2 linked regions of the Caenorhabditis elegans genome follow. The protein of the gene in region 2 purifies or fractionates together with the protein of the main gene of each other region. This does not show direct contact. Each region holds a gene or a part of one and is shown on either strand. Other genes may lie near its edges. The genes, in order: fbxb-112 and cbs-2.

Region 1 (3,922 bases), 1.3 Mb from region 2:
ACGAAAATCATTATATTATTATGAACACTTTAATTTTTCTATTTCCTTTCAAAGACGATCTCATTCATCTCATAAGACGATGAAATTTTATGCTAATTTTTAACATTTTAAATGCACATTATATTTTGCAATGATTTTCGTATTGTTCTTAATATTTTGTCTGTTGACTATTTTCTTGTATCTTCCAAGTCCATCGATATCTGAAGCTTCAAAAACAACGACATTTTGGCTTAAATACGCATTCGAAGTAAAAAAAATTGTTTTAACATCAATTTGGGCAAGATTTTATTTTGAATTCGGTATGTTCATTGTATTAGCATTCAGAAAATATATCATTCGACACATAATTCTCTTGTCACCAAAATAGAGTCCCTGGTCAGAATAATCTCCGCCAATAACGCCCGTCCCGTAATACCCGTTCAGTTAAACCAACAAGAATAACTTTGAACTCGATAAATGAGCGTCGTTTTTTTGATATGAACAAGTGCCATTTTACCATCATCTCTCGTTATTTCATATCCACCATATACATATTCTTCCTCACCAGTCTCTTTTTTGACGTAACATGATTCCAGATTTTGCGATAAAATTGTATAAGGAACTCCTTTGAAGACAACATCTTCCTTCATAATTTGATCATCAAAGTCGTAAAGCAAAAACAAGAACTCAAGCATCGGATTTGAGCCTTTAATGAAATGCTTCAAGTACAGGTTGAGCTCAACGTCAGACAGTGTTCCCAGAGAAATTAAGATATTCGGGCTATTCATTACCAATACATCGTTCAGTGTGTAAGTGCTATCATCGTGAATATCTAGGGTTTCGAAGTTTGCTGCGAGAATCGATTAGTTAGAAGCTTTTTCGATAGTCAAGTGCATCACTTTTTCAGGGGAAAAGCAGGGAATCAAACCATGAGAGTTAAATGATGGATCAATAATTGATAAACATGATACTTTGAATCCTTCGAAAAACTTCTTGAATTCATCGATTGAGTAGTTTTGGTGGTTTTTTCTAAAACAAAGCTTCTCAATTTCTTCCTGGCCAGTCAGCTGTTTAACGAGAACCATCCAATCCCGTATTCCGAAATGTTTTAAAACCCATTCAGCAGTCCATGTTGGTCCCATATACCGATAGTCATGTAGATTGGCTACGCCGTCATTCAATAACTTTCTTGTTATATGTTTCGATGGATCTCGAATTGAAATATTAATTGTTTCAGTAATATCAATAAAAATTCGAGCCTCCTTGTAATTGAGTCTAAACAACCTTGACGTCTTCTTGGAGAGCGTGGTTAGTCCGATTCTGAAAAGAAGTCACTGTAATATTTAATATTTACATCAACTGTCTCCGATATTAGGTTTATTAAAGGTGGAGTAAAAAAAAACCACTCCTTTGGTCCCAAAATGACCAAATATCATGATAAAACTTTTCAAAAAATTTTGAAAATTTTTTATTTACTGTCAAAAAGTGGCAATTATTCAGTTTTTGCCACTCATAATTTTGGAAGTCGACCAAAAAATTTTTTTCGACATTTTTTATGTTTTAATTTTGTTAAAATTATTTGTATTAAAACATTGTAGAGGTCGAAACATGCGACATTTCTTTAAATTTCCTCAAAAGCTAGTATTTTTCAAAATTTTGACAATTTGCCAAAACTTTGACCGGAAATTGTGAAAAATCGAAAAATTTTTGAAGTGTTTTATTATGAAATTCGGTTGTTTTGGATCATTATGAGTGCATTTAGACAAAATCCCCACTGGCGCTACTCCACCTTTAATAATTTGTTGAGTATCAGTCAGTTAGTTAGTAAGAAATCAAAAAAAATCCGAAAGAGAAACGGACTCGTTGGTATACAAAAATTTGAAACAATTAAGAAAATGCATGCCGATATCAATTTTTCGACAAACTGTAAAATTGTCGGGTATGATTTAAAAAACTAGCTTTTACTGTGAAAAAGACGTGTGAAACTGTGAAAATTCAATTTTGTTTCCAGGTACGCCTAAGCCTAAGTCTAAACCTAGGTCTGAGCCTATGCCTAACCATAACCTTACAGAAAAAAAATCTTACGAACTTACATTTTAATGTATTTCAAGTGCTTCGTTACATTATCCAGTGCCTTTTTAGAAAGACGTAGAAGAGAAAAAGAGACGACAGACATTGCAGTAAGACTGCTGAGCAACAAGTGAGCACAATGGCAGCCAAAGACAATGGCTGAATGATCGATAGTTGGTATTTAATACCGCGTATGTAACGCAGTATGGTAGGAATAGTCTATGATCTCTTCCCGCACACTTCCCACGAGGAGGTATTTGCGTCGTGGCCAGCCTATACCTATACCTATACCTATACCTATACCTATACCTATACCTATACCTATACCTATACCTATACCTATACCTATCCCTTTACCTATACCTATACCTATACCTATACCTATACCTATACCTATACCTATACCTATACCTATACCTATACCTATATCTATTCCTTTACCTATACCTATACCGATACCTATACCGATACCTATACCTATACCTATACCTATACCTATACCTATACCTATTCCTATACACCTATACCTATTCCTATACCTATACCTAAACCTATACCTATACCTATACCTATACCAAAACCTATACCTATGCCTATGCCTATGCCTTTACCTATACCTATACCTATCCCTTTACCTATACCTATACCTATCCCTTTACCTATACCTATCCCTTTACCTATACCTATACCGATACCTATACCTATACCGATACCTATACCTATACCTATACCTATACCTATACCTATACCTATTCCTATACCTATACCTATACCTATACCTATACCTATCCCTATACCTATACCTATACCTATACCGATACCTATACCGATACCTATACCTATACCTATACCTATACCTATACCTAGTCCTATACCTATACCTATACCTATACCTATACCTATACCAAAACCTATACCTATGCCTATGCCTATGCCTTTACCTATACCTATACCTATCCCTTTACCTATCCCTTTACCTATATCGGCTTATACCTAACGAGACCCATGCTTTGAGGGCGGGGCGTTTTCCGGATTTGCTGTGGAGCGCATTTGCACCGTTAAAAATTCGAAAAAAATAATTCGATTTTTATCATTTTCAGAGCAACTTTTTTAAAAAGATTTTTTTAAAAAATCACTTTTTAGAGTAAAATTTATTATTGAAACGAACGGAAAAGAAGCAAAGAATTCATAAAAATCATTAAAAAAATCAATATTTAGGCTTCTTATAATCTCCACCACCACCGGCTCCATCTCCTCCGGCCTTCCGTTTATCCATAATCTTGTTAATCTCATTGAGCTCCCGATCGAGCCGCTTCGCATCCGACACTGCCGACTGTTTCTTGTTCTTTCGGCCACCTTCTCCATTTTTGACTCCGTATTGATAGGCGGCTTTTGGCAGAGCTTCACGTCCTTCCTGGAAATTTTTAAAAATTTGAAAAAAAAAATTTCCAAAAAAATCGATTTTTTTTTTGAAAGAACGGAAAAATTTCGAATTTCCGTTTTTTTTTTTGAAAAAAAAGCAAATTTGTTTTCGATTTCCCTATTTTTCCATGAAAAATCGAATTTTCGTTGACTTTTTATTATAAAATTCGTTTCCAAACGCATTTTTTCTCCACTAAAATCTCGAAAAAATGTCATATTGCACCATATTGTTCCCACATTTTTTCTAAAAATAGAAATTAGTATCAAAATACAGAAAATCACCTGATTTAGCTCAAAATAATATGAATGTGGAAACAATATGGTGCAATATGACACTTTTTCGAGATTTTAGTGGAAAAAAATGCGTTTGGATTTTTTAATGAAAAGTCAACGAAAATTCGATTTTTCATTGAAAAAAGTCGGGAAATCTAAATTTTTCCGTTTTTTTTCA
Region 2 (5,969 bases):
GATGATGGAAATTTGACGGAAAAATGTGGAAATCGCGAAAAATCACCGGAAAATTGTGAAAAATCGACTGAAATTCGATATTTTTATCGTTTCTTCAACAATTTTCCATTGAAAAATCGATAAATCATTGATTTTTTGCTATTTTTCAATGAAAAATCGATAATTTATTGATTTTTCGTTTAAAATAGCGAAAAATCAATGATTTATCAATTTTTTTGTTGAAAAATCAATAAAGTATCGATTTTTCAAAAAGTATCACAAAAAGGACATTCGATTTTTCAATTGACAATTTTTAAAATTCGCGCAAAATCGACTGAAATTCGATATTTTTATCGATTTTTCAACAATTTTCCATTGAAAAATCGATAATTTATCGATTTTTTGCTAGTTTTCAATGAAAAATCGATAATTTATTGATTTTTCACTCTTTTTCCGATAAAAATAGTTTTATTATTGATTTTTCAGTGGCAATTTTCAAAAAATCGCAATTAAAATGTCCTTTTTGTGATACTTTTTGAAAAAATCGATACTTTATTGATTTTTCAACAAAAAAATTGATAAATCATTGATTTTTCGCTATTTTAAACGAAAAATCAATAAATTATCGATTTTTCATTGAAAAATAGCAAAAAATCAATGATTTATCGATTTTTCAATGGAAAATTGTTGAAAAATCGATAAAAATATCGAATTTCAGTCGATTTTTCACAATTTTCCGGTGATTTTTCGCGATTTCCACATTTTTCCGTCAAATTTCCTTTTTTTTTCTAAAAAAAAACGTAGAAAATCTATAAAAATTGATTTTTCAAAAAAAAAAAATTTCTTCGAAAAATGTTAATTTTCAGCCGAATTTTCTCGATTTTCCCCCGAAAAAAAAAAGCTCATTTTTTTGCAGAGCCGCTCGTGGCCAATTTGGTTTGGATCAGGCGTCGGTTTGGGCACCGGATGGTCGAATTGCCGTCACGATTTCGCTTCGCCGTACGTTTTGCACGGAAAACGTGTTCCAGCTGGACAGGATTCGCAAGGAAAACCGGCATACAATATTATCACCGAACAACACAAGCAATAGAGAAAAGAAGAGATAAATTTTCGATTTTTTTGAGATTTTTTTGAATTTCCGCCCGCCACCCCGCTTTTTTTTGTTCTCTCTTGTGTCGAAAAATAGGAAAATGTGTGAATAAACTTATGAAAAAATATCGATTTTTTCGGATTTTCACATGGAAAACGGAACATTTTCAGATTTTCAGATTCAAATTCGAAATCCCCGCAAAATTTTGAGCTGAAAATTTAGGATTTGACTAAGAAAATAGCGAGGAATTCGAATTTCGCATTAAAAATGCACAGAAATTATTCGGAGCTCTCAAAAAATGAGCAAATTTTCAGAAAACGGAACAAAAATTTTGAATTTTGACGGGTTAACCGAAAATTTGAAAATTGCAGTTTTCTATAAGAAAAAAAATCGGGAAATGGATGGAAAAGACAGATTTTTCATTTTTACATCAAAAATTTAAGAAAATTCTGTTTAAAACTGCTAAAAACCGATTTCTTTGCAAAACCCTGTTAAAATATGATTATTTCCAATTTTCGAGCTCAAATTCGAGTTCCCCACAAAATTTCAGGCCAAAACCCGAAAACTAGAGGTTTCTAGTTCAATTTTGAATTTTCCCGGATTACGGTAGCGCCAAAAGTACGCAAACACCGACTACCAGTACTTCTACAGTACCCCTATATTTCTAAACCCCTGCAAATCTTTAAAATACGCCTGAAATCCATGAAAATTATAAAAATTCGGCTGAAAATTGTGAAAATATCCATATCACGTGTAATTTAAATAAAAGAAATCAATGAAAATTTAATTTAATTTTAAATTGATGACGTGTAAATGATCTTTCAAAAAAGAAGAAAATTTCCGTATGACCTCCCGTGTTATTGTTTTCCACATCCTTATCTCGTGAATTTGATCAGTTTGGAAATCAATCAATAATCAGTTTCAACTTTTTGCCCGACTGGAGGATGTGCCTGCCTACCATTAAAGCATTCAAGACAATTCTGGACGCCGGGAGCCACCGAGCAACTCAACTGGTGCCGTTGAAGAAGCTGAAGGCCGAGTTTCAGCTGAAAAGTGATATTTGTGAGTTTCTATGTTTCAGAAAAATCTGAAAATTTCCAATTTTCAGATGTCAAACTCGAATATCTCAACATCTCCGGGTCGCTGGAAGATCGTGCGGCTCACCGAGCATTTGAGGTGAGAAAACGGAGAACAATTGGGAAATGTCAATTCAAAATTCGAATTCCTTGCAAAATTTCAGTCTGGGACTGCAGAAACTAGCTGAAAATCGCTTCATTTTGAAGAATTTCCAGCTTCGACCGCGACGCGGCCGCAACGCGCGGAAAAATTGCCGAATTTCTGGTTTTTAACCGAATCTGGTCGATATGGGGTTTAAAATTTAGCAAATTTTGCGGGAAATTCGAATTTTTTAGTTAAAATTTTCCACATTTCCGGGAATAGTCACAAAATTATAGGTGTCAGTTAAAATTTTTGGTCACAATGGACTAAAAATAATTTTTACCAATTTTCGCTGCTAAATTCGAATTTATCTTAAAATTTCAGTCGGAAAATCGAAAACTAGAGGTTTCTAGCTCAATTTTGAAATTTCTCGGGGTACGGTAGCGCCAAAAGTACGCAAACACCGAATTTCACGCGATTTTCGAGTTTTGAGCTGAAAATTGAGTTTTAGACTCAGAAAATGGCGAGGAATTCGAATTTGATAATAAAAAATCCCAGAAAGTAATCTAAAATCTCAAAAACAAATTTTTTTAATTGATTTTTTCTTTTTCAGATGTCCAACGGAATCCAACGAGGCGACGAGGTCTACGTGACCGCCGGCGGATCATCTGCAGTCTCCTATGCCACCGTGGCAGCCGTCAAGGGGGTCAGACTAACCGCCCACGCACCTCCCGGAGCATTCGACCAGGTCAGGACGATTCTGAGCACTTTGGGAACCAAGATCGTGGAGCTCCCGGTTTCAAACTTCCGAGAAGCTCGGCTCCAGGCTGATCTACTGGCCAAGCGTCGAGGTGTCTACAATCTTGATGGGATCTGCGAGAAAGCCGCGTTTCTGGCGAATCTTGAAGGAACTGCACCGGAGATTGAGAAGGCTGGGAAGACCAGTGCAGTTGTGGTACCCCTGGATGCTGGTGGAGCTTCAGCGGCAGCAGGGATCGCTGCTTACTTCTTAAAGGATCAGAAGACAACAGTGGTCGGAGTGAGATCTTCAGCTTCAGCTTCAGCTTCAGCTCCAGCTCCAGAAACAGAAGTTCTTCTGCAGAAGTACAAGGTGGAAATCCGAGATGCTCCTGAATCCTACACCTTCACCAGACACCTCATCGAGACGGAAGGGATCATGGCTGGACCATCTTCCGGAGCGGCAGTGCTGGAAGCCATCAAACTCGCCAAGGATCTTCCAGCCGGGTCAGTGGTCGTGGTGGTTCTGATGGATGGAATCAGGGACTATCTAGATGCTGATTGGATGAAGGTGAACGGCAAGAAGCCTATCAAGCCTCGTGAGATCTTCGACCCGAAGGTGCTGGACTACGATCCGACGAAGATGGTCGGGGAGTGGAAGAGTTCCAGCAAGTTCAGGTAGGTTATAGGATCTGAGATTTAGCAGAAAATTTGATTTTCAGGCCGGAAAGACCACTGGTTCTCGACTCAGTCCTCGATGCGATCGGCAAGACGCCACTGGTGAAGCTTCAGCACGTTCCGAAGGCTCATGGAGTCAGGTGCAATGTTTGTGAGTTGGGAATTCCTCTGTCCGGTCTAGTCTAGTCTAGTCTAGTCTAGGCTAGTCTAGTCTAGTCTAGTCTAGCCTAGCCTAGTCTAGTCTAGTCTAGTCTAGTCTAGTCTAGTCTAGTCTAGTCTAGTCTAGTCTAGTCTAGTCTGGCCTGGCCTGGTCTGCCAAAAATCCTCATCTTGGACAATTTCAGATGTCAAATGCGAGTTCCTCAACGCGGGCGGCTCCACCAAAGATCGAATCGCTAAGAAAATGGTCGAAATTGCTGAGAAAACCGGCAAACCCGGAGCACTCACCCCCGGAGCCACCACCCTCATCGAGCCCACCTCTGGCAACACCGGGATCGGCCTATCCCTGGTCGCGGCGGTCCGTGGCTACAAATGCCTGATCACGATGCCTGAGAAGATGTCCAAGGAGAAGTCGACGACGCTGTCGGTGCTAGGATCCACGATTGTCCGGACTCCCAACGAGGCGGCCTTCAACAGCCCGAGCTCTCACATCGGAGTGGCTCTTCGCTTGAAGCATGAGATTCCGGGTGCGGTGATTCTCGATCAGTACTGTAATCCGGGGAATCCACTGGCACACTATGAGGAGACTGCGGAGGAGATTTTGTGGGATATGGGGGATCGGAAGATTGATCTAGTGGTGAGTAGGAACTTCGGATCAAGCTTCAACTGTTACTCTTACAGGTCCTTGGCGCAGGAACCGGTGGTACCATCACCGGAATCTCTCGGAAGATCCACGAGCGCCGTCCCAACGCGATCGTCGTCGGCGTTGACCCGAATGGATCAATCCTGACCGGCCCGACGACTGGACCCGCTCCAGATTTCTACGAGGTTGAAGGGATCGGCTACGACTTCATCCCGGGGACCCTGGACGAAAAATCAGTAGATTCCTGGCTAAAATCTGATGATAAGGAGTCATTCCTGATGGCTCGAGAGATCATCAGAACCGAGGGGATCTTGTGTGGAGGATCGTCGGGATGCGCGGTGCATTACGCGTTGGAGCAGTGCCGGAAGCTGGATCTGCCGGAGGATGCGAATGTCGTTGTGCTGCTTCCAGACGGGATTCGGAATTATCTGTGAGTTGTCTGGGCCTGGGGCCTACAAAATTAGGCCCAGCTTGCTTTGAGGTCTATTTGCTGTTTGATCTCTGAAAATTGCGGGAAACCTATAGTTTTTGTCGTTTTTAGAGGTCAAAATACTACTCTGTAGCCCCGAAAGCCAAGCTTAAACATAATTTTTCAGCACCAAATTCCTCGACGACGACTGGATGAAAGCCCGCGGCTTCTTGTAAATTGTGACCTAAAAAAATACTTGAAATTGGAATTATGAACTGAATTTTTGACATGAATGAAGATTTTTCTCTTTTTAACCGAGTGCAATCGCGCTCCATTGATATTTTTCCAGATAATTGGGCTTTTTTCCCGAGTTTTTTGAGATATAACCGATTTTTCATTAAAATCGATGAATTTTAGTGGTTTTTGCATTAAAAATGACCGAAAATGCATTTTTCCAGCAATTCGCCCTGTAAAATTAGTGAAAATATGGATTTTTCGTCATATTCCCTGCAAAATAGACAACAGAAGCCATAATTCAAATAACAGAAGCCATATTCGCCGTCCAGCTCAATCGCGCTCCACCGCACCACACTCAAATCCCCCTGCCACCCCGGCACGCGAAGGGGGCCCGGACAATGAGACACCCTGCACACTTACTCTCGCCGCCTCTCGCTCTCTCCGCTCTCGCATTTTCTATTGATTTTCCTCTTGTTTCCTCGAATTTTTTAGTATTCTAGAGCAGAATTTGGTGTTTTAAATCAATTTTTTTATATTTTAGAGCTCGAAATTATGACTTCTCTCGTGTTTAATGACAAAATGATGGCGGAAGAGGGTATGATGGTTCCACAAGCGGAACAAGTGAGTTTTTTGTGAGAAATGAATTAATATCGAGATTTTCCTGTGAAAAATGCTCAAAATCATAATTTTTAGGAGAAAATTTAAAAGAAAACGTCAAAATAGGAAATATTCTGAGCTTGTTATAGGAAAAAAAACCGTTAAAAAAAATGATTCCACAGAGGTTTTTTTGCTGATTTTTATCGAATTTCGGCCTAAAATTTCACTAAAAATTCATTAAACCCCAAGATTCACTGATAAAATTTTGAAGAAATTGCGAA

The links.
Region 1: the proteins of cbs-2 (region 2) and fbxb-112 fractionate together in Caenorhabditis elegans (co-fractionation; one large-scale study listed by BioGRID). This does not show direct contact.

The regions. Positions count from the first base shown.
Region 1 is NC_003280.10:3,489,412-3,493,333, reverse strand, and holds fbxb-112 (F-box domain-containing protein), read right to left. Parts: upstream 2,238-3,922; 5' UTR 2,156-2,237; coding exon 2,073-2,155; intron 1,300-2,072; coding exon 843-1,299; 3' UTR 751-842; downstream 1-750. Other genes in the region: Smu-2 suppressor of mec-8 and unc-52 protein, read right to left, coding at 3,257-3,463.
Region 2 is NC_003280.10:2,219,585-2,225,553, reverse strand, and holds cbs-2 (Putative cystathionine beta-synthase cbs-2), read left to right. Parts: upstream 1-1,986; 5' UTR 1,987-2,013; coding exon 2,014-2,131; intron 2,132-2,177; coding exon 2,178-2,245; intron 2,246-2,840; coding exon 2,841-3,643; intron 3,644-3,687; coding exon 3,688-3,794; intron 3,795-3,987; coding exon 3,988-4,439; intron 4,440-4,483; coding exon 4,484-4,875; intron 4,876-4,921; exon of another isoform or gene 4,922-5,041; coding exon 5,042-5,090; 3' UTR 5,091-5,158; downstream 5,159-5,969. Other genes in the region: F54A3.5 (MICOS complex subunit Mic10), read left to right, coding at 896-1,069; Y59C2A.3 (Trichohyalin), read left to right, coding at 5,644-5,712.